Linked DNA regions of Schizosaccharomyces pombe. Changing the gene in region 3 together with the main gene of any one other region gives a genetic interaction. Each region holds a gene or a part of one and is shown on either strand. Other genes may lie near its edges.

What was found.
Region 1: mutations in rad57 (region 3) and cph1 together harm fitness more than expected from each alone (negative genetic interaction), as found in Schizosaccharomyces pombe (2 studies listed by BioGRID).
Region 2: mutations in rad57 (region 3) and set9 together harm fitness more than expected from each alone (negative genetic interaction), as found in Schizosaccharomyces pombe (3 studies listed by BioGRID, with this or other methods).
Region 4: mutations in rad57 (region 3) and raf1 together harm fitness more than expected from each alone (negative genetic interaction), as found in Schizosaccharomyces pombe (2 studies listed by BioGRID).

What each region holds. Positions count from the first base shown.
Region 1 is NC_003424.3:794,323-801,862, forward strand, and holds cph1 (Clr6 histone deacetylase-associated PHD protein-1 Cph1), read left to right. Parts: upstream 1-5,044; 5' UTR 5,045-5,227; coding exon 5,228-6,442; 3' UTR 6,443-6,659; downstream 6,660-7,540. Other genes in the region: export adaptor Nmd3, read left to right, coding at 762-2,258; CCR4-Not complex subunit Mot2, read right to left, coding at 2,671-3,907, 3,996-4,175, 4,226-4,278; ATP-dependent RNA helicase Upf1, read right to left, coding at 6,988-7,540.
Region 2 is NC_003421.2:1,152,330-1,160,123, forward strand, and holds set9 (histone lysine H4-K20 methyltransferase Set9), read right to left. Parts: upstream 3,733-7,794; 5' UTR 3,278-3,732; coding exon 1,952-3,277; 3' UTR 1,585-1,951; downstream 1-1,584. Other genes in the region: SPOM_SPCC4B3.13 (MatE family transporter), read right to left, coding at 1-1,533; protein fra3, read left to right, coding at 3,877-4,227; ipk1 (inositol 1,3,4,5,6-pentakisphosphate (IP5) kinase), read left to right, coding at 5,819-5,831, 5,888-7,794. UniProt on the Schizosaccharomyces pombe protein: Histone methyltransferase that specifically trimethylates 'Lys-20' of histone H4 to form H4K20me3.
Region 3 is NC_003424.3:2,120,333-2,127,313, reverse strand, and holds rad57 (DNA recombination mediator, RecA family ATPase Rad57/Rhp57), read right to left. Parts: upstream 4,285-6,981; 5' UTR 4,025-4,284; coding exon 3,958-4,024; exon of another isoform or gene 3,863-3,957; coding exon 2,865-3,862; 3' UTR 2,808-2,864; downstream 1-2,807. Other genes in the region: gih35 (ATP-dependent RNA helicase), read right to left, coding at 1-581, 618-874, 923-987, 1,036-1,113, 1,157-1,247; whi2 (phosphatase activator), read right to left, coding at 1,510-2,322; gpl1 (Gpl1-Gih35-Wdr83 complex RNA-binding subunit), read left to right, coding at 5,106-6,710. UniProt on the Schizosaccharomyces pombe protein: Involved in recombination DNA repair and in the repair of gamma-ray-induced damage.
Region 4 is NC_003421.2:98,081-106,609, forward strand, and holds raf1 (CLRC ubiquitin ligase complex WD repeat subunit Raf1/Dos1), read right to left. Parts: upstream 4,185-8,529; 5' UTR 4,092-4,184; coding exon 2,175-4,091; 3' UTR 1,636-2,174; downstream 1-1,635. Other genes in the region: protein meu23, read right to left, coding at 641-1,405; rhp16 (ATP-dependent helicase), read right to left, coding at 4,605-7,496; rhp7 (DNA repair protein), read left to right, coding at 7,600-7,656, 7,705-8,529. UniProt on the Schizosaccharomyces pombe protein: Component of the Clr4 methyltransferase complex (ClrC) which contributes to the establishment of heterochromatin by specifically methylating histone H3 to form H3K9me.

The DNA.
Region 1 (7,540 bases), 1.3 Mb from region 3:
ATGCCTTGGCTTACTTTCTAGACTATTCTCAATAAAATGACTACTTAATTTAGTTAAACATATACAAAAACATCCGATATTTGTTTTCCTAAATGAAATACAAAAGTTTTTAAGATACAACCATATGATACAACAATGACAAACGTGGGATTACTTCTAATATTATAAAATCGTTTTGATAATTAAAATTGTTTTGGCCATGGCTTCAGCAATATATACTATGCATAGTATGATACATAACTTTCACTGTTCGATATTTTCTATAATCTGATGCTATGATTATTTTTAGAAATTAGCGTAAGACTCATAAGTTGCTTTGCTGTGTAAACTAGCTATAAAACTAAGAAACTCACGTTTCCTTGGATCAGTTGAAAGTTCAATCTTAATATAGTTATAATACTATTTAGTATTTTCCGATATTTTTGTAGCTAGCTTCATTATTTGTGGTAAGCATACTAGCATCATTTTCAGTAGATCTAAGTCACGAGGAACACTCGGCATAGTCTTTTGGATTTTTAAAAGCATTTTACCGATTCCTCATAGCTCTACTAATAACTATGTGCCCCTTATAAAATAAGGTGCTTTAGCAGAAAATGAAAAAATCTCGTTAAAGATTTACTGCGAATTTAATTACAGTAGGGAAAAAAATTACTTTCCTTAAGACTGTACATTTGAAGTTATCTTCTTCCAATTCAGTGCCAACAATTGTTAATTGAAACTCCCATATATTGGCCTTGCATTAAGGGTTTTCAGTAAAAATAATGGATATGGACAGTGGAAGTATGGGGGTTGCTTTTCAACCCTCAGAGCCTATTGCTTCAACAATCTTGTGTTGTGAATGTGGAGTTCCAACACCTCCTAATGCGGCTGCTATGTGTATGGATTGTATAAAAATGACAACGGACATCACTAGTGGTATTCCACGGGAAAGCACAGTTAACCATTGTCGTGAATGTGAACGATACATGCAACCACCTAATAACTGGATGATTGCACCATTGGAATCTAGAGAATTGATGGCTATTTGCTTAAAAAAGCTTCGAGGCTTGAATCAAGTACGCCTTGTAGATGCCAATTTTATCTGGACCGAACCACATTCCCGACGAATTAAAGTCAAATTAACGGTACAGAAAGAAGCCTTTACAAACACCATCTTGCAGCAAAGTTTTCAAGTTGAATTCTATGTTAATAATACACAATGTCCTGATTGTGCTAGAACTTACACTCCACATATATGGAAAGCAGTTTGTCAGGTTCGTCAAAAAGTGTTACATAAGAGAACGTTTTTGTATTTGGAGCAGATTATTTTAAAGCATAAAGCTCACATGAACACTGTAAATATTAAAGAAACTAAAGACGGAATTGATTTTTACTTTGGCCAGAGAGCACATGCGATTAAAATGGTTGAATTTTTAAGTGCTGTTGTTCCTATTCGCTACAAGGGCAGTGAAGAGCTCATTAGCGAAGATTTTAAATCCAATACCGCAAATTATAAATTTACTTATTCAATTGAAATTGTTCCTATCTGCAAAGACGATCTTGTATGTTTACCAAAAACGGTAGCAAAAGCCCATGGGAACATTGCTCAACTTGTGGTATGTACAAAAGTCGGACCTACGATCCGCTTTCTTGATCCGCTTACTTTACAAACCTGTGATATGCTTCCCTCAATTTATTGGCGTACCCCGTTCCCTGCACTTGCAGATATTCCCGAACTTACTGAGTTCATTGTTGCCGATGTCGATTTATTAGGCCCAACAAATGGAAAGTATGCCCTCGCCGATGTGGAATTGATTAAATCATCCGATGGGTCAACGCACTTAACACGCACCCATCTTGGTGGTATTCTAAATGCGGGCAATACCGTCCTTGCGTATCATTTAGCTGTTACCAATTTTAACAATGAAGTATATGATACTCTTCGTGAAGATTCTATTCCGGAAGTTGTAATTGTTAAGAAAACTTATCCTCAAACGAAAAAGAAGAATCGGAATTGGCGTCTCAAAACTATCGGAATGCAAAAAGCCGAGGATGTCAAGAAACAAGACATTGAACGTCAAGAACGTGATTATGAGTTATTCTTGCAGAACTTGGAGGAGGATCCTGAGCTTCGCCAAGGCGTCAACTTATACAAAGCACCAGTTAAGGCTATTGCCGTTGCAGATACTGATATGGATGAGGAGGATGAGGTTGATGAAGACATTCCTCAAATAAGCGTCGATGAGTTGTTAGATGACGTTGAGGCAATGCATATTTAAAAATGCTTTAGGTTACCAAACCTTTTTTAGTTTTTATTTTGTTCTTGAACCGTTTTGGATTGGGTTATCAGATGGGATTGGTTATTCACGTACTTTAATTTTAGAAGTTTTATTTAAACAAAGCTTTCTTCCACATTTTTTTTAGAAATTAGTGATTCGTTTTAATGAGTTGAGGACAAATCGACTTTAAATGGCTTTTAAAAGTAAATAAAACTTTCGTAAGATGATATGACTTACTAAGATAACTAGATCAGTATGTGCTATGTATGAGGTGGTAAAATTATAAGTAAAGAATAGGCTTTTTTTACCATTTTTAGTCAATCTACTATATGAGGAACCCATAGAGAATTTATCTTTAAAATTTTTTAATAATATTTATGTAAATACTACAAAACTTAAATGAAAAAGAAGACTAACTTTGGAAACCAGGAGGAGGCATTACAGGGTTGCCGTTATTAATTCCTAGAGAAGTAGGAGGTTGATTCTCGGCGCTTTTTTCCTGTTCAGGGACAACCTCCTTGTCAATAACAGAACGCGCGTTGAATACAAACAACGGAGGAAGATTCTGAATCATTTCGATTTGCTTTTTATCAAATTCAGTTCCTTCCGTGCTAAAATTGATTTTACTCAACGATGAAACCAAGTCATTAATTGCTTTGTTAAGCCACTTTGTAGTGTTTTCTTCTTCCGAGGGTAATTTCGCAGCTTTCAGTTTTTGGATTTTAGGTATTGAAGTCTGGGTTGATGAGGATTTCAGTGCATCTAAAGGTTGCTGATTAACAGCGGCACGTAATCGTTCTTGTAATACGCTTGGAGATAATTTTGCCCAAGCAGCAGTTGGTGGAAGAGCAGAACTCTCTTCGTGATGAAGAATAGTTGTTGCATGTCCAGGAACGACGTTTACAGAAGCAGCAGAAGAATAAGGGGCAGGAACGCTGGTAGCAGTGTTATTAGTGGATAAGGAAGGTGTCATTGACACTTGTGGATGAACATGATCAACTGTTGTAATATGCTGATTTTGTGCAGCTGGACTACTATTAGCCTCTTCTAACGGTGTTTTCGTAACAGGAAGTAGAGGTGTTTTGAATGGAAGAGAAGGAGAAGGAGAATGAGTAGCACCATTTACCACATTAGGTTTAGTGGAAAGAGGACGGGTATGTTGAAGAGATGCCAAGTCTTCTTTAGTATAACTATCCACCTCGTCACCGGGTTCATGTAAATACATGCAAGAAGGATTGGGGCATTGCTGATTCCGTAAATAAGAAGTGCAATATTTAGTGGTACCATAAGATGCGCGAAGATGTCGCCCATCACTTACGCTGCCATCAATTGCAGCAATCGCTCGTGCAGCATCTTCTTTTCTTTGGTATGTAATATAAACTCCAACATGACCATTTGCAGAATTTGCAGCAGCCTTCTTATTTATTGCAATTTTAATAATCTTTCCGTATTGACCAAAGTATTCAGGTCCCTTCAGAACGTTGATATTCTCCTCATTTGCAACTTTGGGAGAAAGGCCGTTTACATAGGCAAGGTTCTTTTGTACAACACGAATATTTGCAAGATGCTTCCTGTTTGAAAGCTCGACTTCCTTCCTCTCTTTCTCGCGTTTCTTCCTCTCGTTTTTTCGATGTAAGTCCATCTTCCATCTAAAAACATTAGCGACATGTTTAAAAATAAAAGTGAATTTAAACAAGATTATGCTTAAACAAGAATTCTATAATCTGAATTACATACTCCTCTGCCGTGACAGGCCGCCATTGAACATTTTCTTCAGTGTACAGACGGCGACATGCAGGACAACGGCCATTTAGATCTTCTTTGATATGGTGCCAGCAAAATCTACAAACTCTGTATCCGCATTGGCATGGTTTGAAGTTTTTATCAGAGATATCAATTTCTTCCATACATAGAGGACTGTTGCAATTGTCAGTTAATTTTGATACTAATCGGCTAGTAAAACATACCAACACATGTCATCCTCATCTTCTGAAGAATATATCTCTTGCGTTTTTAACATTTTGTGTGAAATATGTCAAATCTCCGTCACAGTGCTCTCCAAATCGATACTGTTTAAGGTCGCTCGTTATACAATACAGAGGAAGTCTTCAAATATCTTAAATCAAATCTTTGATTTTAATTTAATTTAGTTAATTCCCTTAATATTCATTAGACTTCAAACAAATATTTTTTAAAGGGCAAACCGAGTTGTGGTTGGTTATAAGTTTACTTACAACTTAGTGTAAAAGAAGGAGGCAATGACTAGGTGAGAGGTTGGATTTGAACAGTATATACCACACGAAAAATAGCAATTAATAGACATGAATTAAGAAATTTGAGAAAATTCTTATTCCAAAGGTTTTTGGAATTGTGTTTGAACAACAAAAAGTACCCTTAAAAGTTTCACCGTCTATAATTTCATCTTGATAATTAATTGCAGTAAACGTTTGTAAACGAATGTATTATATATACAACTTTTTCACGTTGTGGTCAAATTCTTTAGTTATTTCATCTTCTAAGTAATTAGTGAATATATTGAATTGACGAAAAAACGATGAACAACATAATAAGAGGCATAAAGTGCTTCTCTACTTAATTTACGCTCCATGTTCCATCAAATGGATAATAGTTTTTAACAAAATGTTCAAATATTTTACATATAGAAGGGAATTTATTCTTATGATAATCATTTATACTAAATGCTCCTCTCGAAAATCAGATATCTTTAAGTAGTTTTCTAAGTCTAATTGCAACGACGTTTGGCGTTCAAAGACTTGTTGTAACTTAGCATCTTCATAACAGCGTTGCTTCACTATAATATACTTACAACCTCGACCATTGTTCTTTTTTACGATAACCATTAATTTTACCTTTAATATTCCTTAAAACATTAAGGATAGTATTGATATTTCTAAGTGCTAACCGTCGCGTATTACATGTTGCTTTGCTCATAGCATGGGAAGTATCTAATGGCATCCTCTATAAACAATTCATCTCAACCTACAGTACCTTCAATTTCTAATAATAGTCATGGCGACTCTTTCGTAAATGAAGGTCCCCCTTCTAATTTTAAAAATAATTCTTTAACATCATCAACTCACTCTTCAACTGACCATGTAAATGTCTTGCCAATTAGCCAAGACAAAGAGATGGATATAAGTTCTCCAGTGAAAAAACAAAAAGCTAGTTATTCGAATAAATCTCCAAATAAAGCACCTATTCAAAAAAGCCGGGGTAGTTCCCTAAAAAGTCATCTCGAAACCGAATCTCAACAAACTCCTGTAAAGCGACGGAGACGAAAAGCGACTATACGCAACGTCGACTATTGTAGTGCATGCGGAGGAAGAGGTCTTTTTATTTGTTGCGAGGGATGTCCTTGCAGTTTCCATCTTTCATGCTTGGAACCTCCCTTGACTCCTGAAAATATTCCAGAAGGATCTTGGTTTTGTGTGACTTGCTCAATCAAATCGCATCACCCTCCTAAGCACCCTCTTAGTATATGGTCCCAGCTTTACGATTGGATTGATTCTCAGAATCCCTCGCAGTACCGATTGCCCGACGACCTTGTGCATTATTTCCATGGAATATCTCGTGGGGATACAGGTGCTTATAAGGAAACTGAAGGAGAAATGGATACTGACGAGTTTTCTGCTTTGCCGACTGGCTCCTCTATCACTAATCTAGCTTACTGTGGTTATTGCTCTAAGCCATCAATGGGTGCTTGTTGGGTCTATGGTTGCCAGCTGTGTGACACCTTCTATCATAAAAATTGTAAAGAGCATGCTAAAAAATGCTCTCATGACTCCATTGGAAAAAAAGGTATGAGAGTACCAAAAAACGCCGTGGTGATAAGGACGCCCTTGGTGTTGGATACAACTTCTAATACTCTTAATCCTAAAGTCATGATTTCAGGATGGCAATTTCTTATGGGAGAGTTTCCAAGTGATGAACTTCTCTATTTCCCAAGATTACCCGTGAGTTGTCTCTACAAAGTTTCAGAAGACGGTCTCATCAAAGATTTTTTGTACGCGATTGGCATAGAAGCTAAAAAGTTTAATAATGAAAGGAAAAAACGAGAGTTAGAGGTTATTCCTCCAGACGTAAAAAGCGCACTACTTCCTGCGAGAACGCACCCAAACCTACCTATTGCACTACGCACTTTATTCAATAAGGCACGCACTTGAATTTTTACGATATTTTTACATTTTGTATAAAATCAGACTACGTTAATCTAATCTGTCGTGTTCAAATCGTCAGAAAAGGTTGTTTTCTGTTATTTTTTTGCTAATGTTGTATTTATAAAACCTCTTAGAACTGGCTATCTGTTGTAATTGGCTTATTTTACATTACTTTTCTCCATTAAGGCTTTTAAAAAATTTTCGTTATGCAATTAATCATTGCAAATCCTTCCTAATAGGGCAAAAGTTCTATTTTATACTAACAACTTCTCAATACTTAAATTTTATACGCGTATTGTACCGTGTGAGTATATATAAGTATATATAAGTATATATAAGTATATATGAGTAAGATGCATTTACTAGACAAAGAGGAATAAAATAAAAGAAAGTGATAAGGAAAGGTTCTATTACTAAAGTCTATTTAACAGCCATATCAATGGTTTAAAACGCTTACAGACCAAACGGTCCATAAAACTTGAACACCAAAAATATCAACAAATAAAAGATATGTTGGCATTCGTAATTACAAGTAAGCAAATACTTATTAACTAGAACCTAGTAGGTTCGTCGAACTTGCTTTCATCATCACCAACCTGACTTCTAAAGTCTTCAAAGTCGGTAGCGTTGCTTTCTCTTCGTTTGTATTGAGCAAAGACATTCCATTCTTCAAGATACGAGGAAGAGTATAAGTTCGGAAGATTAGAAAACGAAGGTAACATGGCAGAACCGGCATTCTGTATAGGAGATAGTGATCTTTGTACATTGAGGTCTCTTTTAAATTTTTGAGGTTTCTGAGGAGGAGTAAGGGTTAAGGAAAACTTTTGTAAGCTGTTCAAAGTGCCTTCAACTAAATATCCTTTTTCCTTGCAATGGAGGACAAAATGATACCATAAAGCATGTTTAGCAAGGACTTTTGGATTACCGAGAACAATTACACCATACTTTGCTCGAGTCAATGCAACGTTCAACCTTCTTGGATCGTTAACAAAACCAATACCTTGGTGTTCACTAGAACGTACACACGACAAAATAATGAAGTCCTTTTCTCTTCCTTGGAACGCATCCACCGATGCTACTTCAACAGCTTTATAAAGATCCTTC
Region 2 (7,794 bases), on a different chromosome or scaffold from region 3:
AATTAGAATTGCAGCTCCAATTCCAATCCATAAACCGTACAGCCCCCAATCTAGCTTGAAGCAAAGGATTATGGCAACAGGCAAACCCAATAAATAATATGCGATGAAATTTACTACCCCACCAATCCTTTGTCTTCCTTGTCCCCGAAGAAGGCCTCCAGCTACACATTGTGTATTATCGGCAATATTAATGAGTGCAACAAGGGGAATGATAGTTGCAACCAATGCGACGACATCTTTATCAGACGTAAAAATGTAAGTCCATGTGTTGCGAGTTAAAAAAAGGATTACAGCAATGATAACACCAATTGCAGCACCTAAATTGATAGAAACGTGCGTAGCTAGCTTAGCGAGTTTCGTATTTCCAGCACCAATTAAATTTCCTACTCTTGTGGCAGCTGCAGCAGCGACACCGAAAGCCAAATTATAAGAAAGGGTCGAGGTAGTAGACAAAACAGACATAGAGGCTAATTCAGTGGTACCCAACACGCCCGATGCGAAAGTAACGAGTTCAAAAGCCCAGTACTCACTGCAAATCATAATTACACCAGGAACAGCCAATCGACATAACGGGCCCCAATTTTTTAATGCTTCTCTACTAAAACCTCCCCATGCTTGTCGTCCGTTTACCTTCATAATATAGATAATTAGAACAGCACAAGCACTCCATAGCGTTAATGCTACAGCGACCGGTGCACCTAGAAAACCGAAACCAACCCAGGGACTCCACACAAAAAGGTAATTAAGAAAAATATTAATAGGTACAACAATTGCTAAAATGTATGTTACAGGATGAAATATACCTTGCACCTGAAGGAAACGTTTTAGTGCTTCAAATAATGCGTATGCCGGACTAGCCAACATCATTACTCGCATATACTTTGCCGCAAACATACAAGTAAGAGGATCCTGTCTAAGGAATAAAAGTATGCCCTCTATTTTCCACCATATCAAGAAAATAGGGAATTGTATCAACAACAATATGGCCAGAATCCTCTGTAAATGTAAACCCACCATTTCGTAATTTCCAGATCCGAAACTTTGAGTTCCAACGGTATCCAAAGCAGATACAATCCCCTGATAAATAGCAAAAGCCGTAATTGTGGCAGTCATGTTAGACAGACTTGCAGCCGCAAGCTCTGTTTTACCCAAGTGGCCCAAAGAGAAAACAGTAGTAACCACCTCACCATACTGAAGTAAAGACGTTAATACAACAGGGGTTGCGAATTTAATAAGTAATGTTAATTCTTTCCACCATGCCTTGCTATTAAAGTCTTCTTGTACTGAAAGGCCACTCGCAATAGATTCGTTTTCTTCTGTTTCCTCTAAAGCGCCATATGATACATCAGTCGCAGGTCTTTGTACCCTAGGTGTAGGCTTTCTTAAGGAAGTAGTGGGTCTTTCTTGTGGAATAGGTGAAACTTCCGAAGCTGCGGTGTCAAGAAATTGGGGTCTTGACAAACCGTAAACAAGACTCGATCTTCTTCGTTTAGGCTTATAAGATCCTAATAAAGGATCATTTTCCCCTTCCATTATGGATATGTCTGATAAAGTTAAAGGAAAAGGGGGTCAAGTTTAAAAAACTTGTGGATGCTAGTAAAGTTTGTGAGGCCAACCGGGCACAGCTTATATAGTGACATATTACACAACCAAAATTTCCCTCAGTTATAAAAACGTAGTATATTAAAACAAGTCAATACATTGAACGTTAATTTATTGAATTTAAAAGCATTCAAATATTTAGTTAATAGAGGTGGTGAATCCCATGAAAAAATCAACAATAGATTGAATTAGCGAACGGAATGATTCAAATGTACATTGTTCACCTTCGGATATACCCTGAATAGTGCAAGATTTTAGTTTTTTTTTTTTAAATAAATGCTTTAAAGTCCAACTAACAATGACCTAAATTAACCAAAATTTCCAATCTTAATATAAATAGTCTAGTCAACTAACTTTGATAATCAACAGCTTTTTTGTGTCGCAGAGACATACTATGCGAGCTGGTAACTAAGTTCCTTTTTGTATTAATTTCCTTTTCTTTCTCTAGTTTCAATTCACGATTAACTTTATGTCTACAAGGCCAAGGTAATGAAAAGAGTTTAGAATGTCTAATACATTTCGGACAAAATGCACTCGAATTTTGAATGTCTTCATTAATAAATGTCTGGCTACAGTTTGAGCATTGGTAAACCTTTCTTTTTCCATGTCTTTTTTTCCATAGATCTTCACGAAATTTTCGATAATCATCCACATTCAGTAACGGACTATGGTTCGTTATGGCCATCTCAGACAAAAGCCTTTTTTCTCGAGACCACACCCTTTTTTTGTGCCTTGGTATAAATAGTGAAAACTCCTCATCCAAATCAGAACTGGACGCATCACTCAGTTCACCACCTGAATCCCAAATATTCAAGAAGCTACGATCTTCCTCGGAAATCACGTAACGATTTGACTGCGGCAAAGAAGACAGATCGGAAACATCAGAACTACTCTTGGAAGAACAACTTGTTGAAGTAGCACTAGTATGGAAAAGCTTTTTAAAACCATTGATGCCCATTCGTTCACATGAGACACAAAGGCATTCACAATTTTCAAGGCCAAAGTAATTAGAAGAATAAAAGGTAGTAATTTCTTCACCTGGTTTTATGTCTCTTACACAGCGCAGCCAAATGCGCTTACCAGAAGTGTTAAATCGACAGTTAGCATTGCAGTCATGATTAACGAATCGTGCAGGGCCCAAAAATAGACACATCGAATCTAAGCGGCTTGAATGAAGGATGCTAAAGTCTTTTCCAATTCCTATATTCCGCTCTTCTTTAGGAGATAACTTAATAATTGTTCCACAGAGGTCTGTAATATCTTCTCCAGCATTAATTGATTCACGCGCTATTACGCAAGCTTCAGGCTTTGAGGAAGAAAAGTATTGGTTTGTTGAACAAATTTCAAATTTGCATGATGGTAGATATAATGAGAGGTAGTACTTCAGATGTCGAGTAAATGCTAGTAAAGAAGTGCTTGACAATCTCCGCAACAATGGATCAAGTTCACGAAATTGCAGAATATTTTTTGCCGCTTGGTCAAGGTCTGTTTGCTCTATAATATATTTGGTTATAATATTTATAATAGAACAGCTTTCCATTCGCTCAATTGATCGATCCACTAATTTTCGTACTTTATGAATTTGGGACCAATAAAACACCTTGTCAACTAGCAAACAAGTACAAACATCGTCAAAAAGAGAAAACGTTTCAAGATGAGTATTCGTCTGGCGCATTATGCATTTTCATAGGCGTTAGGCAGGTATCAAAATGTCATGAAACATTCAATGTTAAAAGTACCTTTCCAGTTGAACAACGATGAGTAATCTTGATGTATAAATTATAGGTTTATATGAGTTTGCTCAGAAAATAAAGGTTAGGAACTCGATAGTTTATCCAAATATGTAATATATTTCTGCGTTGGCAAATACAAAAATGTTTTTGAACACAACAATTCAACACAATCACTTATTAGGAAATCGACTAATTAGCGAAATTTAATTATTCTCGTTTTAAATAAAAGAATCCACGAAAGTCTGAACGTTGTAATTAAATATACACCAAGCTCGGACGGTCCCCTTAAAAGTTTTCACAGTTTTCTAGTTATTATATCTTTGTAAGTTATACTAATAAAGAGCGACTTTGCTTCGAATGAAATCCACCTAGACAAATGGGTCGTAGAAATAGCAGTAGGTTGGACCGGGACTGATGAAGTTAACTAAACTATACTAGCAACCCAATAGGCGAATGCAGATACAAAAAACTTCCTAAATCCCGTTTTATCATTATTGAGATACCAGTTTAATTTACTTCCTTCTAATATTCAAGTTTAAATATGAAGTTAGCCATCGGTAGGCTTTTAAGCCCATTATTTTTGAAAAATCCTCAGAAACCCTTGATCATTACTAAACGATTTTATTCGACACCCGGAGAACGAAGGATAAAGGACATACTCACTGAGAAGCTTTCACCTAGTTCTTTGAGAGTTATCGACGTTTCTGGAGGATGTGGCAGCATGTATCAAGTTGCAATTAAAAGCAAAGCCTTCCAAGGGAAGAACACTTTGGCGCAGCACCGTCTAGTCAATTCTATCCTCAAAGAAGAAATCAGAAATATGCACGGACTGAATTTGTCTACCGAAGTCGAAGACGATATATCTGCCGGCGGATCGACTACAAGTTCATGAGATTTGTTTACAAAGACCTCTCTGCCGCTACGATTTTACTGTTTAAGAACATAGTTGTCTGACATTTATTTTCAAATTAGATATGAAGCTCACGGCTTTTATTTATTTCAACGTTTTCCTAAAAACCTTGGCTTCTCGTTCATACAATGTAACATAAAACTTTCCTTTTTTGTTCTCAGTTAATACATCTGTTATTTTCGAATATTATTATATTATGCCTTCGATATGATTTTTGCGCTATAGACTTCTAAGTGTGTTTTCTAGAATTTAATATTCAAAAGGTAACGGCCGGGGAAAACATTGATGTGTATTTGGAGAAAAAAAACTTTTTCCGCAAGTCGTTGAGTCCGTAATTACCATTCCTGCTAATGTTGCTATCTTTACTACACTTAATGTGAGTCAACATTCTCTTCCGAAATTAAATTTCCAAAAGATAGACTCCTTTCGACTAATGTATAAAACATATTGATTTTAATGTTGATCCGTCGATGGAAAATTTCTCAACAGTCACTGATCTCTGAAACGTTCTCATTCTCACTCATAATACAACGCTATTTTTCAAACAAGTTACAGATATCGGCTTCTTTTTAGATGATTTATTCAACAAACCAATGCAACACCATATGGCTAATTCTTTTCTGAACCTTTCGGTTTGCGAAGTCATCAATCTCGACCAGCCTCGGATTTTTTGGTCAGCGATTTTAGCATGATAACTTTAAAATTGTTAAAATGACTTTCTTAGAAAATTATGATATAGGCGCATCGCTTTTTATCGCCTAACGGATCGGAATTATTTCTCGCACCGGCGATTTGAACTAGCTGAAGAATTTGCCAAACATAAGCGGAAAAACTCGATTTGGTACCAAACTTCACATTTTCAAATCGCCCGGTTAGTTAGTTTGGCCATCTTGCGAGTATATAAAGTTATCAAATCATGTCGCAATTTCAAGACTTGTATCACCAGAACGCACTACCACCTGGCAGACACATATTTTGTGCAGCTATTTCAAACTACTAGTAACTTTTACTATACATACTCTGCAACACAAATCAATTAATTAGCTAATGAATTCGCATTTCCAACTTCAACTCTTACTACTATAGTCGCAATTGTTCTTTTCTTGAGTTTCGTAAATACGGATTACGAGATTCATAAATAGGATCAGTAAGTGAAAGCTGACCTAACATCAGTCATTTGTTATTTTCACCATTAATCAACGCCTCGAAAGGGGTTATTTTTTTCGAATTGGAGTTGGAATTCTCTGTGGATGCTCAAAGCACCTGCTCTTTAACTTATTTTTACATTTAATACCATAATACGAGAACCTCTGATTTCCTTTGGGAATATCCCCAAGATTTACCTTCCCTGTCAAACCGCCAAATCCTTGCTGAGCATCAAAAATTCCCGCCTTATTAGACTAGAAAATTATCCTAGAGCTTCTTGTTTCAATTCACATTTACTTACTTACTCATCAGCCAGTTGGTTATATTTTCCTTCTCTTACAACTATTTCGTTCAGAATTTTGGTCTATTCTCATTTTCTACCCTTCTTCTTTTCTTTTTTGCATCCTATTTATTCTATTAATTTGAAATGCCTCTAAAAAGTATGTCTTCTTACTTCCTTTGAATTTGTATAGTGTGCTAATTTAATTTACAAAAGATTATACAAAGACTACGTCTAAAAAAGAACCTAAACAATTAGATATTGCTGCTTCTGATCAACAAATTGAGCAGTGGAGTGATCAGATCCACAAATTAGATAAAGCGATTCGTTCTACAATCGATAACTCTCGACTCTTCTATGATGCTTGGAGATGCATGGTTTGTATAGCTCCCTCCGTCACTGCCTCTTGGATTTCTTTGTACAGACAGTTACCTCCTGAAAAACAACCTGCTGCTTCTGTCGGAACATTGGTCGATTGGAACAAGGCCTTGGAACGTCAACGTCGTGAAGTCTTGCTTGCCCTGCAAAATTTCCATGTCATAGTTATTGCTCCTTGCAAGGAGGTCAAAGGCTATGTAAAGAAGGCAGTTGAAATGATTAAAAGAAGAGATAAAAAAGTAAAAGAACTTGAAAAAATTCAAAAAGAATTATTGGTTGTTTACGAATTGCCTGATCCTGAAACCAAAAAAAGTAAAATTAAAGCATTACAAAGCCAGCTTGTCCGTGTCAATGGTGAATTGGATGACCTTCAGAAGCATTTAACTTTGTCCTTCCCAACTCTTATTGCAAAAAGTCGTGTTTTTTTTGGACAACTTATGAAGCATTTTTACTGCTTGCAACTTCAAATGTTTCGAAAAATGCACAACATTGTTCGCCCTTGGGATTGTTTTCAAGACGATATTCCCCAAACGTGGCTCGTTGAGTTTTCCTCAGTTTGCCAGGCTGCTGAAAGCATTTCCTTAATTGCCGTAAACAACAACCGTCCTCCCGTAGAACTTCCAAAATCTGGTGATGTTTTATCAAATAGAGAGTGGGAAGCTGGAAAAATTGATGCCATGAATTCTCTCATCGCTCAGAATTTGCATACTTCAGCGTCTCAGGTAAGCCTTTCGCCTATGGCTAGTACCGCTAGCTCTTCTGTTACAAATTCTCCCGTTGACACACATACTCCTTCAACTCCAATTATGTCGCGTCCTCCATCCATGAAAGCCCTTTCTTCTGGTGTAGAGTCCCAAGATGAATCGGTTGCTAGTAGTAATTTTCAAGTTCCAATTATATCGAATCCGCTTTTTAAATCCCCTGCACCTTATTCACCAACATCCGTTATCTCCAATCATTCCTCCACCGGTAAATCCCTGGTGATTTCTGAATGGGCATACCTTGCCTCAGGAAGTGCGAATGTGGTGTTTGAGTATGTTGGTAAAAATCCTTACTTTCAAGACAAGGTAATTCGTCTTCGACGTCGAGGACAGGTTTTTACTACAGAACAAGTTTATGAATACTATCAAAATGTAATTTATCCTTTGTTTGCTGGAATGGAAAGCTTTTTAATTGAGGTTTTTTTGCAGCCAGTTACTAGGGATTTTTTGCTGGCGGCCCAAAATGCTTCTGGTATTTATTTAAATTTAAATGAGCAATACTGTTTGGTAATGAAAGATCTCAAAGATGGAATTGAAATGAAACCAAAATGGTTGACTCAGTCCCCTGCCGCTCCACCTGACTGGGTTGTTTGTCGAACGTGTGCCCTTAGCCGTATGCGTGGTAGACCCGTTGGTTTTTGTCCTCTACAGCTTGATTTCAACAATTGGCCCAAGTTTTTGTGCTGTCTTCAAGGATTTGTGAGTCCTGATATCGCAATGAGATTGTTTCAGTCTGGTATACTACGGAAGCTTCGTGACCTACAAGAGCAATACTCTCGTACTGATGTTGCGTTAGCGATGACCCTTCGAGATGTGACTTTATACATTGGTAAAGATCACATAACATTACTAGATTTAGATCCTAAAGACATGAATACCAAAATGTCTAAATGGGAACGTGATGAAAGGAATTTGATTGAAGGCGGTTGGTACTATGGTCGTGGGATGAAGTCTACTGACAAAGCATGCCGGAGCAGCATAAAG
Region 3 (6,981 bases):
TTGTCCTTCCAGCTCTTCCACTTCTCTGTATAGCACTTGACTTAGATATAGGCACGTTAATCAATTTTGAAGTCCTTGTATACGGGTTGTATATCCGTTGTTTATTAAAACCTGAATCAACGACATAAACTATGCCATCAATAGTAATACTAGTCTCAGCAATATTCGTAGAAAATATAACTTTTCTGAAGTCACCATCATATATGTTAAAAACTCGCATTTGCTCGTCAACAGTAAGACCAGCATGTAAAGGTAAAGGAACTAAAGTTTGACAGTCTTCGGAAGCATGAATTAAGGAATCTTCAATCTTTTTTATACAGTATTCTATTTCTTTTCTTCCCGAAAGAAAAACCAATATATCACCAGGCGGATAGGTTGAATTAATGTTTATAACCGTTTCGATTGCAGAATCAACGTAATTTTCTGTAGGTTTCTGCAAAAATAATGTTTCTACGGGGAATAATTTCCCTTCAATTGACATAGTGCATACTTTATCTTGTCCGAAAAACTGAGACAGTTTATTCGCGTCAACAGAAGCGCTGGAGAGCACAAGTCTAAAATCATTCCTCTTTTCTAAAATCCTTGATTTGTCAGCTATGAATAGAAAATTTAAATACCTTTTCAAAACTCCTAGTAGGAGATCTGTCGACAAAGTTCGTTCATGGACTTCGTCGAGAATGACTATTGAATATCTTTCCAGCAAAGGATCAAAAAATATTTCATTCAAAAGGATTCCATCGGTCATATATTTTATTTTTGTTTTTTCAGAAACGTTATGATCAAATTGAATGCTATATCCACACAAACTTCCAGGAGGAGAGTTCAGTTCCAAAGATACTCGTTCAGAGACGCTCTTTGCTACGAGTCTTCTGGGCTTTCAAATAAGTTAGGAGGATGATAAATAAACAAAGTTGTGACTAACCTGTGTACATCCTATAATACCGTTTTGGGACGCCCATCCAGCTTCGTATAAAAATTGAGGGATTTCTTCAAGATTATTTTTAGTTTAATAAACCATCTAATCAAAATACTTACGAGTTGTTTTACCACATCCTGTGTGGCCTAACACTATAGTAATCTGATTTTGCTCTACTGCATATAACAACTGGTTTCCTAAATGTAACGTCAGCAATGTAAGGGTAAAACAGCTACATACTGTATTTGGTGATTGGTAATAGCTTTTTCTGAATATTTAAGGGTGTATTTGTAAGAGTACTAAGCGATTGGGAAATAAACTCATTAGGCATACTCTTGCGTAGAGAGCATCAAGTAAGTGGAAGCACTTTCATGTTACCACAACTAGATTGAACGTATTGTAATATTTATAAAAAACAGTATTAACAAAATTCAAATAAAAAATTATTATTCAAAATAAATATACTACAATAATTATCACGCAATTTGAGTAAAATCTGGGAAACCTCGTAACATTGGTATCTGTTAAAAGAATGGCTGCATGCACGGCCTAACTTAGCAAAATGTTTTTTAATCTTATTTTTACTAAAACACTTAGTCTTGAGAATTTTCACGATTTCCCATAATCGTAACTTCCAACAACCACTGCTTTCTCCTCCAAACATTGATTAAAGATCCGTTTACTTTTATAACTTCGTTTATCCACCAGCACTTATTACCTGGCTGTCCCCATAGCTTCAAAATTTTACTCAAAAATTCTTCGCTTAATGAGGAGCTCTCGACTGTTGTTATGATATACGACATTAAGCTCATTAATTTTGGCTCCTTTACTCTCTTGGCCCATTTATCGTTGTAGCGAAATCCACAATGCTGTAATGCATCAACTAGCGGTCCATCACTCAGCCCTTTTCGGATTTTTTTTTTGTCTGCACTTTCAAAAACGTCGTTGTTCTTGAAAGTTTGCTCTAATAAGTCGCTCCTGATTTTTTGGTCGACGGGCTTTTTATTTTCAGAAAATAAATAGATATTGCAACATTCTGTTAAGAATAAAACGAGGGTAGTATTCGATATAGGATTAAATGCAATTTTTGAGGGATAAGCATTATTACTTTTTTTAAATAATGGTAGATAGGTGTCCAAAATCCATTTACAAATGGAAGGGTCGATTTTGTGGCATTTGAAACATGATGAGACATCACCTCCCTCATGTTTTAAAAGCAGATGAAACCCATTAGGAAATAGAAGTGCCAACACGGTAGTTGGTAATATTGGAAGTTCAACGCGATCAATGACTATTAGTTTGCCCCGGATGTTGAAATGTATTTTTTCTGGAAAAAACTTTAAATTACTTTCCAGTGTATTGGCTAAAGTGTCAACCGTATTGATTCGATCAATTGGAACTGACATTTTTGTGTTCTATTTTTGTAACGATTATGTTATAAAAGAATGTTCATTTTTTATTTACAAGATATCACCAATGCATACTTGGCTTTTGGTAAAAATGTTAGGTGCAAATTTCTAAAGGATCGCCAATAGCGGAAGCTATCGGAAAGGTCTTACAAAATCTTTTACGCGCAATAGTAAAAACAGGTAGAAAAAGCCATTCGTCGGTTAAGAGAGCTCTTTGGGCATTCTTTGTTACGTGTAAAACTTTTTATTGTATTTTTTTCCATTTCAATACCCAACTGGTATATCCAAAATTCAGTCCACTAAAGTATGTCGGATTCTAATAAAAATGCACTACCATCATAGATCAACAAAATATATATTTAATAGTGACAGAGGTAATATAAATATAAAGATAAATAAGTACACTTATATATGTAACAGTTACTCAAAGCATTACTTTTCTTTCTGCGAATGATTGATAAGCGACAGTCGATTAAACAAAGTTAGGGCAATTCATAAACCGGTTTTATTATATTATATATAAAATTTTTACAAAAATGCTAGCACGAATATATCCCAACCGATCCTATGCATATTCGTACGTCAAGCCTTGGAGAATTTGGTGAATAAACAACCCGAAAGATTCTCCCCGAATTATTGGTGGCAGAGTCGGTTTTCTTAATTAATGCTAATCTCGTACTGATGTTATTAGTCCAAACGAGACCAAGAGATGGTATTTTGGGATTTGGATCTGTGTCATCCCATCCCGAAAACCATTGCGATTGATAATCTAAACTAAACAACCCAATAGCATCATAATCTCTAGGAATTCTATCGCTAACTTGGTTAGCTATGACAACAGCAGCTTCATGTTGATGAGCTAAAGTGCGTAGAGTCATAGCTAACTTTCCCAATTGATTTCCACGTTTGGCAATATTATCTAAATCTCTAAAATGACTTTTGGATCGGTTGTAACGGAGCTCAGCTCTGTAGTTGGAGGCGACACTATCCAATATAACCAACCCAATTTTATCCCGATTGAATAAAATCGGCAGTTGATACTGAATGATATGTTCTTGAGATTCCAGATCTGGGCATAATATAGTATACACCCTATCTCCTGGATTTTTTATAATTATGTCTTTCTTATCAGCTTTGGGATACCTTTCTGGTAAATAACGCGCCAGTTCAAATAATCGTTTTGTTTCAAGACCGGACTCTGTAGAAATGAAGACAGCTGCTTTGTTCATTCCTCCTAAACTGAGAGGTAGTTGAACCATTAAACAAAGCTGCATACAAAACTGTGACTTCCCTGAACCGCTTTCACCACATATTTCAGTTAACTGTCCTACTGGTATACCTCCATGTAGAGTTTCATCCAACTTTACATCGCCAGTTGTCAAATATTTCGAAGTGACTTTGGAAGCAGAACATCTTACTGGTTGAAGAAGGAGGGATATCTGCTCAATTAACTGTAATAACTCACTTTGACTACAATGTGTGCGTCTTTCTAGCTCAGTAATATCCAGCGTTAACAAATCAACCGTGCTTACTTCTCCTAAAGCTGTCAGTAATTCCGTCTTTTAAGATCCCGGTACAAAAACCCAATATTTTTTTTTTATGTGCAAGCTTATTGAACTACTAAACGCTTACCTAATTCAAATGCTGAAGCAATTTTCTCATCAAAGTAGAAATTGTCAACATAATTCGAAATATCCATCCATATAGTAGAAAGAAAGAAGATTTTTAATTGTAAATATGATATGTATAGTTTTTACTCATAAAGATAAATGAAAATTATATCCACACCATAGAATATTCGAAAGTTGATAGTTTTATATAATGAACAGCTTTGTATCCTACGATTGAATTAAATTCTCACGATTATTTAGAAGTAATAGCACGAACTTCTAACCCACTTTTTCGCAGAAAGAAACGGTAATTTATGTACCACTATAGAAGTGGTGAGTCGAAGATGTTGTACGCGAATTACAACTGACCTGCCAATACCTCTATGTTTAGTAATTATAATCCTTATGAGAAGAAGCCCCGCAATCGACGAATATTTATATGAACATTGGTTTTTATAGAACATTAGCATAGTAACCGCTTACACTTATTTTTTTAACATCTTCAAACCATACATCTATGAAAAACCCCACGTAATGATACACATACTTGCCTAACCACCATTCCTTAATTGATAATTAAGTTATCAAGATATGTGAAATTATATAAGCAGCATATCCAAATGTGTATTGCTCATTAATTGTTAGGCATTAAAATTCGTAGTATGGTTGAGCAAACGAAGTATAAGAAATGATGTTTTACCAATCAACCGACGATAATTCGCTCAGTTTACCAGCTACCAACAAATTTCTTAGTTTATGAATGCTTGGTTCAACATGAAGTAATACTAAATAGAACTTTGTTGAGATTTCTCAATAACAGACAAAATATACATGATACATTTTTCATCTCATGAAACTTCAACTGTACAAAGAATTAGGTAATAGATAAATAACGTACCCTAACGCTCGCAGATTGCACTACGGAGGCAGCTGAAATTCGAAGCAAGGGCAACTGTTTAAAAATTGAGTATTGTAATTGCTTTTGTCAACAAATCAGAATTCTTTGATAAGTTATCTGGCTTTATTAAAAATTAAAAGTTGCTCAACATAGTATTCTTGTCGCCTCAAAAATAATGGGCTTATAGTATCCTAAAATATGCCTTAAATTTTGAATTTTGAATTTTTTTTTTTTCAGTTTAACTACGGATCACGATTACTTCTTGTTTTAAAATGTATGCCAATTCAAGAAAAAGAAGCAATGTCGATGTTCATCGGCACCCTTATGTAGTTTATGGCTCCCCTTTTGATCTTGAGCCGTCCAGAATTAATCAAGGAGTTCCTGTTTGGAAACAAGAAGCCAGGGATGAGCGTAATAGAAAGAGATTTCATGGTGCATTTACTGGTGGATTTTCTGCTGGCTATTTTAATACGGTTGGTTCAAAAGAGGGTTGGCAACCTAAATCTTGGAAAAGTTCAAGGAATGAAAACAAAAGTGTGCATGGAATGACTATTGACGATATTATGGACGAGGAAGATCGTGCTGACCAAGAGCTTAGTAAAGTTTATACTTCGAAAATAAATACGATTGATACATCTATACCAATTGATGATCCTCTACTTAGAGAATTCTCAAATAGGGACGATAGCATTGGCGAAAAAATGTTAAAAAATCTTGGATGGAACGGTCATGATTTTGTTATATCTCCATTTCAAGGGTATTATGATGACACTAAGTTAACCAACCAAGCTTATCACGGTATCGGGTATCAAGCGGACGATGTTTTTCAGCTGGAAAGAAAACCAGTTGGAATGGCAAAAAATCTGCGCGGTGGATTTGGATCAGGTGTTTTAAATGATGATGGGATAGAAGATCAAGATATATACGACCTCGGTGCTCCAAAAATGCGGTATGATAAATCTATCAACATTACAAAAAAAGTCGCTTCTCCATTTACACCCGTTAAGCATACCTTTCTGTCAAAAAAAGACAGAAGCAAAGGGAAAAGCATAATCAAATCGCAAAATTGCTCAGATGGTCTACCTCCCCTTCCAGGATTTGTAGTGGTATTTAATTTACAATCACCTTTTCAAAATAATTGGTTTCCTCCTCCTACAATACCTGAGGGTTGGGAGCCAAAACTTTTTACAAATTCTCAAGGATTTTCACAAAAAAAAGCCCAAACTTCAAATGAGCGCTTACCACTTTTTGCTGAGAAAAGTGAAACAAATTCCAACGGTGAAGCAAGTTTACCTAGTGATGTTAATCATGGTGTCAAGGAAGATGAGGGATCTTGGCAACTAATTGACATTGAGACAGCTAAAAATGCAATGTCTAGGAAAGATAATCCCTATAACGATGAGCGTGCCGGAATTTACGAGATTTTCCTTAAGGCGCACCTAATGAATATGCCACGATTACTCAGAGATATTGATTCTCGTCATTTACTAGAATTTACTCAAACAGCTTCACTATACCGACCTATGTCAAAAAATCTATCGATGCGTTTCGTAAGTTCTTTTGAAGCCTCGACTAAAAAAGAGTCGATTAATTCACATAGTGAAACTGATGATTCAATTTTGAGAAGACCTCGTACAGTTGTTACATTCATTCCCGAACGTCTTCTTTGTAAACGCTTTAATGTCGCCTTACCGTACGGTCAAGAAAAACAAAAGCGTAAAAATATTTCTTCTATTGAAAATGTACCTATTATTGCTGAAATTGAAAACAAAAGTATCGATTCAATTGATACAAGGAAGTTGAATCGACCCCAGGATATAGAAGAAAAACCAAAAGCTCCCCAAACTCTTTTCAGTGCAATATTTGGGGATGACTGAATAAAAAAATTATTAATTGATTTCTATTGTACTTTATTTTCATTAGGTTAATAGACTGTAATAAACTTTTTGTTTTAAGCAAAAACTTAGTACTTCCTATTTATTCAAGTGCCATGACACAATGTTTAATAATTTCATAAAAAAAAATAATAATTATCAAGATAGCTATTATACACATCAATTCTTTACTTCACTTTGTTTGCTTAATGTCGCGTAGATTAAACTCACAGTTACTTTTGCTACTTAAAAATTTTTAAACGTTAATGAAACG
Region 4 (8,529 bases), on a different chromosome or scaffold from region 3:
TTTTGAATTATTTTTTTTCGTAACATACTTCATTACTCAAATTCACAGTCCTGACGGATCGTCTTATGCTCTCCTTTAGGCAACAATGATTAATGTTATTTTCCAATGAATTAATACCAATAAATAATTTGGTAGTATTATTATGTATGATGACGATGTACTAATTTGTAAAGAAATTAAAAAATATATATTTATATATGCAATGCAACATTAAAATAATAGTTTCTCTCTTGAGATTTCATAAACAATAATGATAACTATCGCCATCAAGAGCGGTTAACTTATATTAACTTCAGATTTCTCATAAAACGGATTTTCGAAGACAGTATGTTATCGTCTTTATGCAAACATCATTTTTTAAAAATTAAATATGCAAGCCCATGGCATCTTATCTTAAAAATTTTACCTCACAAATCACCTAATTTGAATGCTTTGCTTTCGGTATGCTTTTTAATTCAACAATCACAAAGATTCAAGATTATTCAACATCAGGTAAACAAGAGTTATAAGTAGCTGGGTTGAACTCTTGAACGTTTCACTCCCAATAATTATATACATTTCCAATATAATAATACACGTGAATAAATAGTAAAAAAATATAAGCGATTAATTTTCGTCGAGTACTTTTCTGCCAGAATCGCTAATTAGGAAATCCAGAAAAAGGATACTCTCTGTCATACTCTGCCGATAGGCCGACCGCGCTAGCAAGTTTCTTCTTCATCCCAATAGTTTCGTTTACATGAAAAGTTACCCCATAGCCCTGTAAATATCGAGAACATTGACTCCTAGACAACCGATCTACATCTTGAACTGAAGTAATTGGAGGCAAATCAGGGTCCGGATTATTACCATTAATAAAGGGAACAGGCGAAATCACGTATGCACCCTTCCTAAGATCTCTATTTTCCGCACGAACTGAACGCATATCGAGAGTATTGACCTTATTTGTGAAATTAATCATATTTTCTTGCATGGTGTTCATGGTCCCTTGCATAGTGTTCATGGTCCCTTGCATAGTATTTATGGTTCTTTGTAAATCTGCCATACCGCTCATTAAAAAGTTGAGAGTCCTATTCTGCTCCTCGCGGTCTCTTTGGTACCAAAGTGGCGGTTGAACTTGGCTTTCTCTCTCAATTTCCAACGCGGTCCACTCATCCACTCGACGTTGAAACCTTTTTACGCGCTCATTTGTACGAATCTCCTCTTCATTCAGGTGAGTTTTGTTCTCAAGGGCCCTTCCCTCACTCTCTAATATTCTATTTCTCGCTTCTATTCTTCTTTTCTCGAATTCAACTCGAAAGTCGTTTAAAAATCTATTTCCCTCCTTTGAAGAGGATTCAGTTGGTGGAGGAATATTAAATTCATTAGAAAATTCCTCGTTCAATTCACTTTCAGTATTAGGCATAATTTATTGTTTACAAATTAATATTGTTTAGTAGTAACGCGAATAGCAAGCTGGGTGCAGCCAAGTGTAGTGGTACATGAATATGTAAACACCAAAGCTGTAAACAAAAAAGCTTCCGGTAGTTGTTCATCATTTTTTTAAATTGAAAAGGTGAGTTGATGATTAAATTATGGTTTTTGTTAACGGCATGTTTTCAAGTTAACTAATTACGTTTGCTTGAAGAGTTAATTCAACATTCCATAAAAAATCTCCATTTCTGTTAACATTAAGAGTTTCGGGTCTAAGCTAAACTTAAATTTATCTATGTTTGATATTTTAATTTAATTTGTAACACATTTTTCATCCTTTAACCGTGAAAGCTCATTTGTTTGTTACTATGTTTTGCTTTTGAGTTATCAAACCAGTCAGTTGATCATTAAAGAAACATATTAGATATTATTAAAATTTTCTTGCTGTAAACGTCAATTCAATAATCAGCTTGACTTTACCTTCACTGAGATTAAGGTTTAATTTTCCATTATCCTTTAGAATCATTGCAAAATTTTTGGCCTTCTTCAGTTCTTAAATATTTCTCGGATCGATCGCTGTCTTTAATTTTCTTGCCAGTTCACCCACGAAAAGGAATTCGATTAAATATTCATACTAGCTGAGCATTATTTCTTTTATACCTTCTCTGTATCCTAGTCGTCTAATAAAGAAAATTTTTCTTAGCGCGAATCTCCATTGACTGATCATCTTTACATATACCTTTTCGTATTTAAACCTCAATTCAGGTTAAAAGTCGATTTTCTATAATACGAAACTCTCCGAATTTATTACCATTGTCATTCCCCAAACTGTACATATTGACGTCCCCTCCAACACAACATACGGTTAGCTTTGAAGCATCCTCACTGAACCCTCCGTAAGTTATGGCTGAATTCATTTCCGTAAAATTTTGTATGAATGGATTGTTCAATCTCAAATCCCAAACCTTTACAATGCCATCACTGCCTCCGGTAACGAACAAATTCCCCTTAGGCTGCCATTGTGCCATATTTATACCTGCATCGACTTCCTCTTCATTAGCCCCGTCAAAATGTATCATTTTGGTTTTTCCATGCTTAAGCAAGCTAAGAGGTTTATCTGGTTTACGCGAATCCCAAACAAACGTCTGGTTATCTGTACCACTAGAAGTTACCAAGATTCCAGAGTTACTTATGGTGGCATGGTTAATGTCTTTTTGCGTTGTCGTAAAGTTGAGACAAACCTTATACATTCTTGTGTCTAAATAATATACTCTTCCATTGCTCAAAGTATTGCTACTTGCGACAAATCCAACTTGAGAAGGATGCATATATAAGGAGGTAAATGCTTCGTCAGCGGTGTTGAATTTTTGAACGAAGCTGGCAGTGGAAGCATCAAACAGAGCCAAACATCCTCTGTTATTAGAAGTATGAAAACTATCATATCCAATAATGACTTTGTCAGATGACCTTCCCAAAAAATTGGAAAATTCAATCAAAGATGCAGAGTACCCTTTTTCTAGAGCTTCTGGATAAATTAAATTAGCTGATGTGAGAATTTCTCCTGTTGAGTTGTCAGTGCTCAATAAATACCCATAACCATTTTTGCAAGCTACTGCAAGTAAATCGTCATCAGATAGAGCAAGCTTGTGAATATAGTCTGTGGGTGCATTAAAAATCCCACATAAATTTCCTTCCATATCCCAGACTTTCACAGCATTGTCGAATGCACCTGTATAAAGAAACAGATTACCCTTGGAAAAACACAAATCTGATATCGTAGAGTATTCCTTTTCTCCTACTTGATTAAGTTTATAATGGCTTTCCAATGACTGAATAGTTTCTGAGTGAAAATCACCAATCCATAAGTTGCCTAGTCTATTGTAAGCACCATCTTGTGCTGTGCTGCCTAAGGCAAATTTTTCGCACAATGGATTATATGCAACGCACACTGTATCCCCACTAGTTTCATTGAAATGTTTCCAAGGTTTTAAAAAGAAAACTGATTCCCCGTCCATAAGTTGATGAACTTGTTCTCTTTGGAAGTAAGATGAGCCTGCATTGTAAAAGGATTTTAAGTAATCTGGAAGTAATTTTTTATTCTTCTTGTATGTTCGTAAAATGATGGCCCCATGTTTGTCCACAGGAGACAAGCTGGGGTTATCAATTTCAAATTTCTGGCAATCTTCATATGCTCGTCCAGGAAGTTTTGGAGAAATGTGGGTCGAATAAGCATCATTGAACTGAACACTGTTTACCGGTCCAAATTTTAGTTTAGCTTCTTGTAAAATAAAGCATTCCTCTGGTGTAAAATCAACATGAATGAGTGATGGTTTATCATCGCCTGTAATGCTATTTGAAAGTAAATGAGTGTGTTTTCTCACTCTTTCACTCAAATAAGGACGTGAATTAGGTAAGAATGTCCCAGACGTTAGTAAAAGTTGCAATTCTAATCGTTTATTTACATTTGATGGAACTTTTGCAATTGAATGCTTCGATATTGATAATGACGGTTTCGGGCAAGGTAGCTCTGCGCGATAAAAAGGATCATAAATCTCAAATTCTTCCTCAAAAAATTCTTCGTTATTTGTGTCAAAGTCAACCTTGGGCAATTTAGAAGAGACGGAATGCAAATATTGCGTATCCGTTCTTCTTTTCACCCGTGGTGAACTATTAGTCATGCCATAAATAGGAAATTGTTTGAGAAATTATTGGGCTTTTTACTTTTAATCCTTCAGTGTGCAAGTTCACTAGTTTAACAGAAGTTATGGGTTGCTGAGTGAGTTTAAGGCACTGATTGATATAAAGAATTTACTAAGTCCAAAAAGTATAAAGACATTCCAAAATCGAAAATATTATATTAAAATTGAAGATATAATGATTATCTATTGAGTTACTATTATTACAAATTTATCAGTCAAAGGTAAGTTAATGACTTTACATTGAAGCGATAAAATCTTAACTATGTTTAATTTGTTTTAAAAAACTTTAACCGTTCTATTGACAACTCAATAATAAATTATATCCATTAATAGGAATCCCCAAAAAAATAAATAAACTTCCAAAACGCATATACTGACTTAGGGAATTACGGTCCAAAAAACTAGGATAACAAAAAAAATGCAAAGGGAGATATGGCAGGTATATAAAAAGGAAACGGCCAAAATTTGGGCTAATTTTAAAAAAACAAAATTCTAATTTGAGAACAAGAATTGCATATCCTCGACAGAAAGCTGGTTCAAAGCCTTTTCGTCTTGATCTATGGTTGCATGTATCATCTGAGCTTTCTTTTCTTGTAGTTCAATAATTTTGCTTTCAATGGAATTTTCAATACACAGGGTAATTACTTTTATCGGCCTTTTTTGTCCAATACGATGAATTCGATCCATTGCCTGCCACTGTACAGCTCCATTCCACCAAGGATCCATCATAAACACTTGAGATGCCTCTGTAAGGTTCAAAGCAACACCACCTGCTTTCAACGAAACTAGAAAAATGGTAATATTAATATCGTTACTGAAAGCCTCAATAGTAGCTGCTCTCGCTTTGGGGGTCATACCACCATCTAGCTTTACACAATTAAACCCGGCTTTTCGAAGTCGCCAATGAATGAGATCTAACATAGAAGTAAATTGAGAGAAAACAATCGACTTCAGTGTTCGGTCCTTCTTACGAAGTAAGTAAAGCTCCTCAACTAATGCTTCAATTTTTGTAGATGAACGCCAACTATTCATATCAATTCTATTCAAAATCGATGCATTCTTAAACTTCTCTTCAGAAAAATCTTCTAAAGCAGGGGCACTAAGATCTATGCTTAAGGGAATGAAACAACTTGGACAGTTGACATTTTCTCCATCACCAGCTGCATTGATATATTCCGTAACGCAGAGTCGACAAAATGTGTGATGGCAACGTGATTCTATAGCATCTTGAGCGACTTCGTCACAAATCTTACAGACGATATTTTCCTGATTTTCAATATCAACTGTTTTTCGTTTGCTAGCTAACACCAGGTCAGGATGATCTGCCATTTGGCGCATTCGTGTAATTAGCTGGAAAATGTTTGCATAATTATTCAAAACGACACCTTCAGCAAGATATGTATTAAATTTTCTTTTTGAATCCATATATAAAGATTGGTATACATCTTCCTCTTCTTCGTTGAATAAATCTTTCCTCACTTCAACGACTCGAGGAGGTAATCCAAGGTCATCAGCCCTCTCTAATTTTGTTCGACGTAACATAATGTGTTTTAATAAAGAATGCACCTTTTTAAAAGCTAGCTTTCCTGGACCTTCGTATCCAAACTTTTGTATTGGTTTTAGCATTTCAGCGTTAAAATAGCAAGTATGACTCATTGGTTTATGGCCGCATTCGTCGCAATTACTTCTATCGGAAAATCTCCAGTGCAGAGATTTACATTCACATTGCAAGCAATAGTAGTAAGCAAAAGGATCTGCCCGTAGGAACCGAAGAAGTGAAAATAATTCTCCAATACGGTTTTGCAAAGGTGTTCCTGAAAGACATATCTTTCTTGTCGTTCTTAAGCCACAAACAGCTCTGGCAGTGTTACAAGTCCTTGATTTGATACCATGGGCCTCATCAAGTATAATTCGGTAAAACTCCATTTGATGAAGTAATGACTTTTCTTTTACAACACCGTTTTTCCTTCTGAATCCGCTGCGTTCCTTCCTGTAAACTGATTCAATTACATTGTAACTCGTTAGTACAACATCATAGCTCGAAAGCTCTTCTCCTGAAATATCACGAGCCTGGCCATAATAAAGATATGTACTCAGTGCTTTATTGGTATGTGTATCAATCTCTTCTTTCCATTGCATAATTGCTACAACCGGAGCAACAACCAAGGTTGGCTTACCTCGAGGTTCTGAAAGCAACAACGCAATTGTTTGAATAGTCTTACCCATACCCATTTCATCGGCCAAGATTCCTCCACCAAAAGAGGAATCTTCTTGTCGTTTTAACCAATATACACCTTCTCGTTGAAAAGGGAGAAGGTTTAGGACCAACTCTTTGGGTTGCTCGATCTGTTTCACTTCACGAGGTGCTTCTTCTTCCAATTTCTCCCAAACATGTTCTAGTTCAGGATGTTGTCGAATCAGACGATAATGGGTTCTTTCATGTGATGGAATTGATTTTGCTTGTGTTCTAGAGGAAGAGGACGCGGAAGAAGAAGCCCTAGCGGATACCCTCCTTCGTTTGGACTGGTAACTTAAAGGGATTGACTCTTCATCACTTTCCGTAGAAGAACTTGGAGCAGCTTCTGGAATTTCTACTTTACTATCAAAAGTTTCATCCTCTTTGATATCAATTATGCTAGCAACTTCATCACTTTCATCATCATCAATAAATTCGGATTCATTAGATTCTTCTGGAGATGACAATGGCACAAACTTTTTTTTCAAATTCGAGGACCTTAATGAACGTTTTCTGGCACTAGAAAAACCTGTATTGGGATTTGCTTCTACATTGTCTGTGCTGCTACCGGTGTGTGTACTGGTATCAGAAATGGATAATGGGGGTGTCGAATGTTGAGATGAGGTGTTGTTTGACTGGATAATCAATTTTTTGTTTGTTGACAGAGGTTCTTCAAACTCTTTTCCGTTCCAGCGCGTTGTCTCCATATCTAACTTGTCGTCACGCTCGACTTGTTGATTTGAAGCATTCCCCTTTGAATCACCATTATCATCTAGAACAAAATGCATATTTTCTTTTCCCTTATTACTATTCGAGTTTATTTTATTACATGACGTCCCCATTTGTGAATGTAAATTGTTTTCAACCACTTCCTCATCTTCACTTTCTACAATAATGCCCGCAATGGGAGAAGATGACCATTCATCTTGATTGCCTGGTACATCATGAATGTTATTTATCTCTGAATAAGTAGTAGAAAATGGAGCCTGCCCATTACTTTGCTCATCATTATTGTCTGCTTGAAGAGACGCCTGAGTAGTATGGTTATTGCGAGTATTTTTCCAATTTATGGAATCAATTGTATCGTTTGAATTAATATCTACAGCTTCATTTTGTAATTGGTCCACTTTTAGAGTAGATATATGCATAGTAGTGGTTGGTATGAGACAAGTTGCCACGCGATCTGAAGCGATTTAATTAAACTCAACCACACTTCCACCTTATCCTCAGCATACTAAGGATTTCTTTAAAATGTCAAGTGGAAGTCGGGTGAGAGGGCCAAATTCTGCTTTAACAGAATTTTTAAGAGTATGTGATGACTCTTTCTTAGCTCGGAGTTACTAATGCATTATTCAGTCTCAAGGTATCAATGCTTCAGCATTAGGACGTGCTCGTCCTCCTCGTCAAAGCGAGGAGTCAGCAGGGCAATCGACTGGGACAGAATCAGAAGTTATTCAAACACCGACTTCTGTTGAAGAAAACAACGAAGATGAAAACTCGATGTCGACAACGACAATTGAGATACCAGTAGTGAAACGACGAAATCTACGAAATCAAAAAAAGAAGAAGAAAACGGATGAAGAAGCTGAAGACAACGAGGACACTTTTTCAATGAATTCAAGAGCTGGGTTTTCTTATAAAGCAAGGGAGCATACGGGCAAACTAGATTTTTGCGCACACTGTAATTGTCGCTTTACAATAACCCCATACAGCAAATACAGCAATTCAGAGAAAGGGTGGCTATGTTATCCTTGTAGTCGTGGTGCTGAAGATCGATCGGTACCTGAATTAAGGACGAGAAAAAGAAAAGCATTGACCCGTAAAAAGGTGGCTGCCGCTACCATGGACGAAGAAATCAGTGTTCCTAAGCTTCAGGATTTGTGTATACGAGTTATTGCTGAATACATAAATGATATCGAAGCTTTTGGGGATATTGGCCAAGTGAATATGGACAAAATTAGCCAAATAATTTCAAAAAACCGCTCTCTTAACGATACTACTGTGAAATTATTCTTAAGTGGGGGTCAAACTGAATTAAAACTATATGATTGCTCAAAGATTACAGCAGATTCACTTTTCCAAATTGCTCAATACTGCCCAAATCTTCAAACTTTGCATCTTACTTATTGTGGTCAAATGCAGGATCAAGTTTTACACTTTTATGCGGATCATTTGACTGAA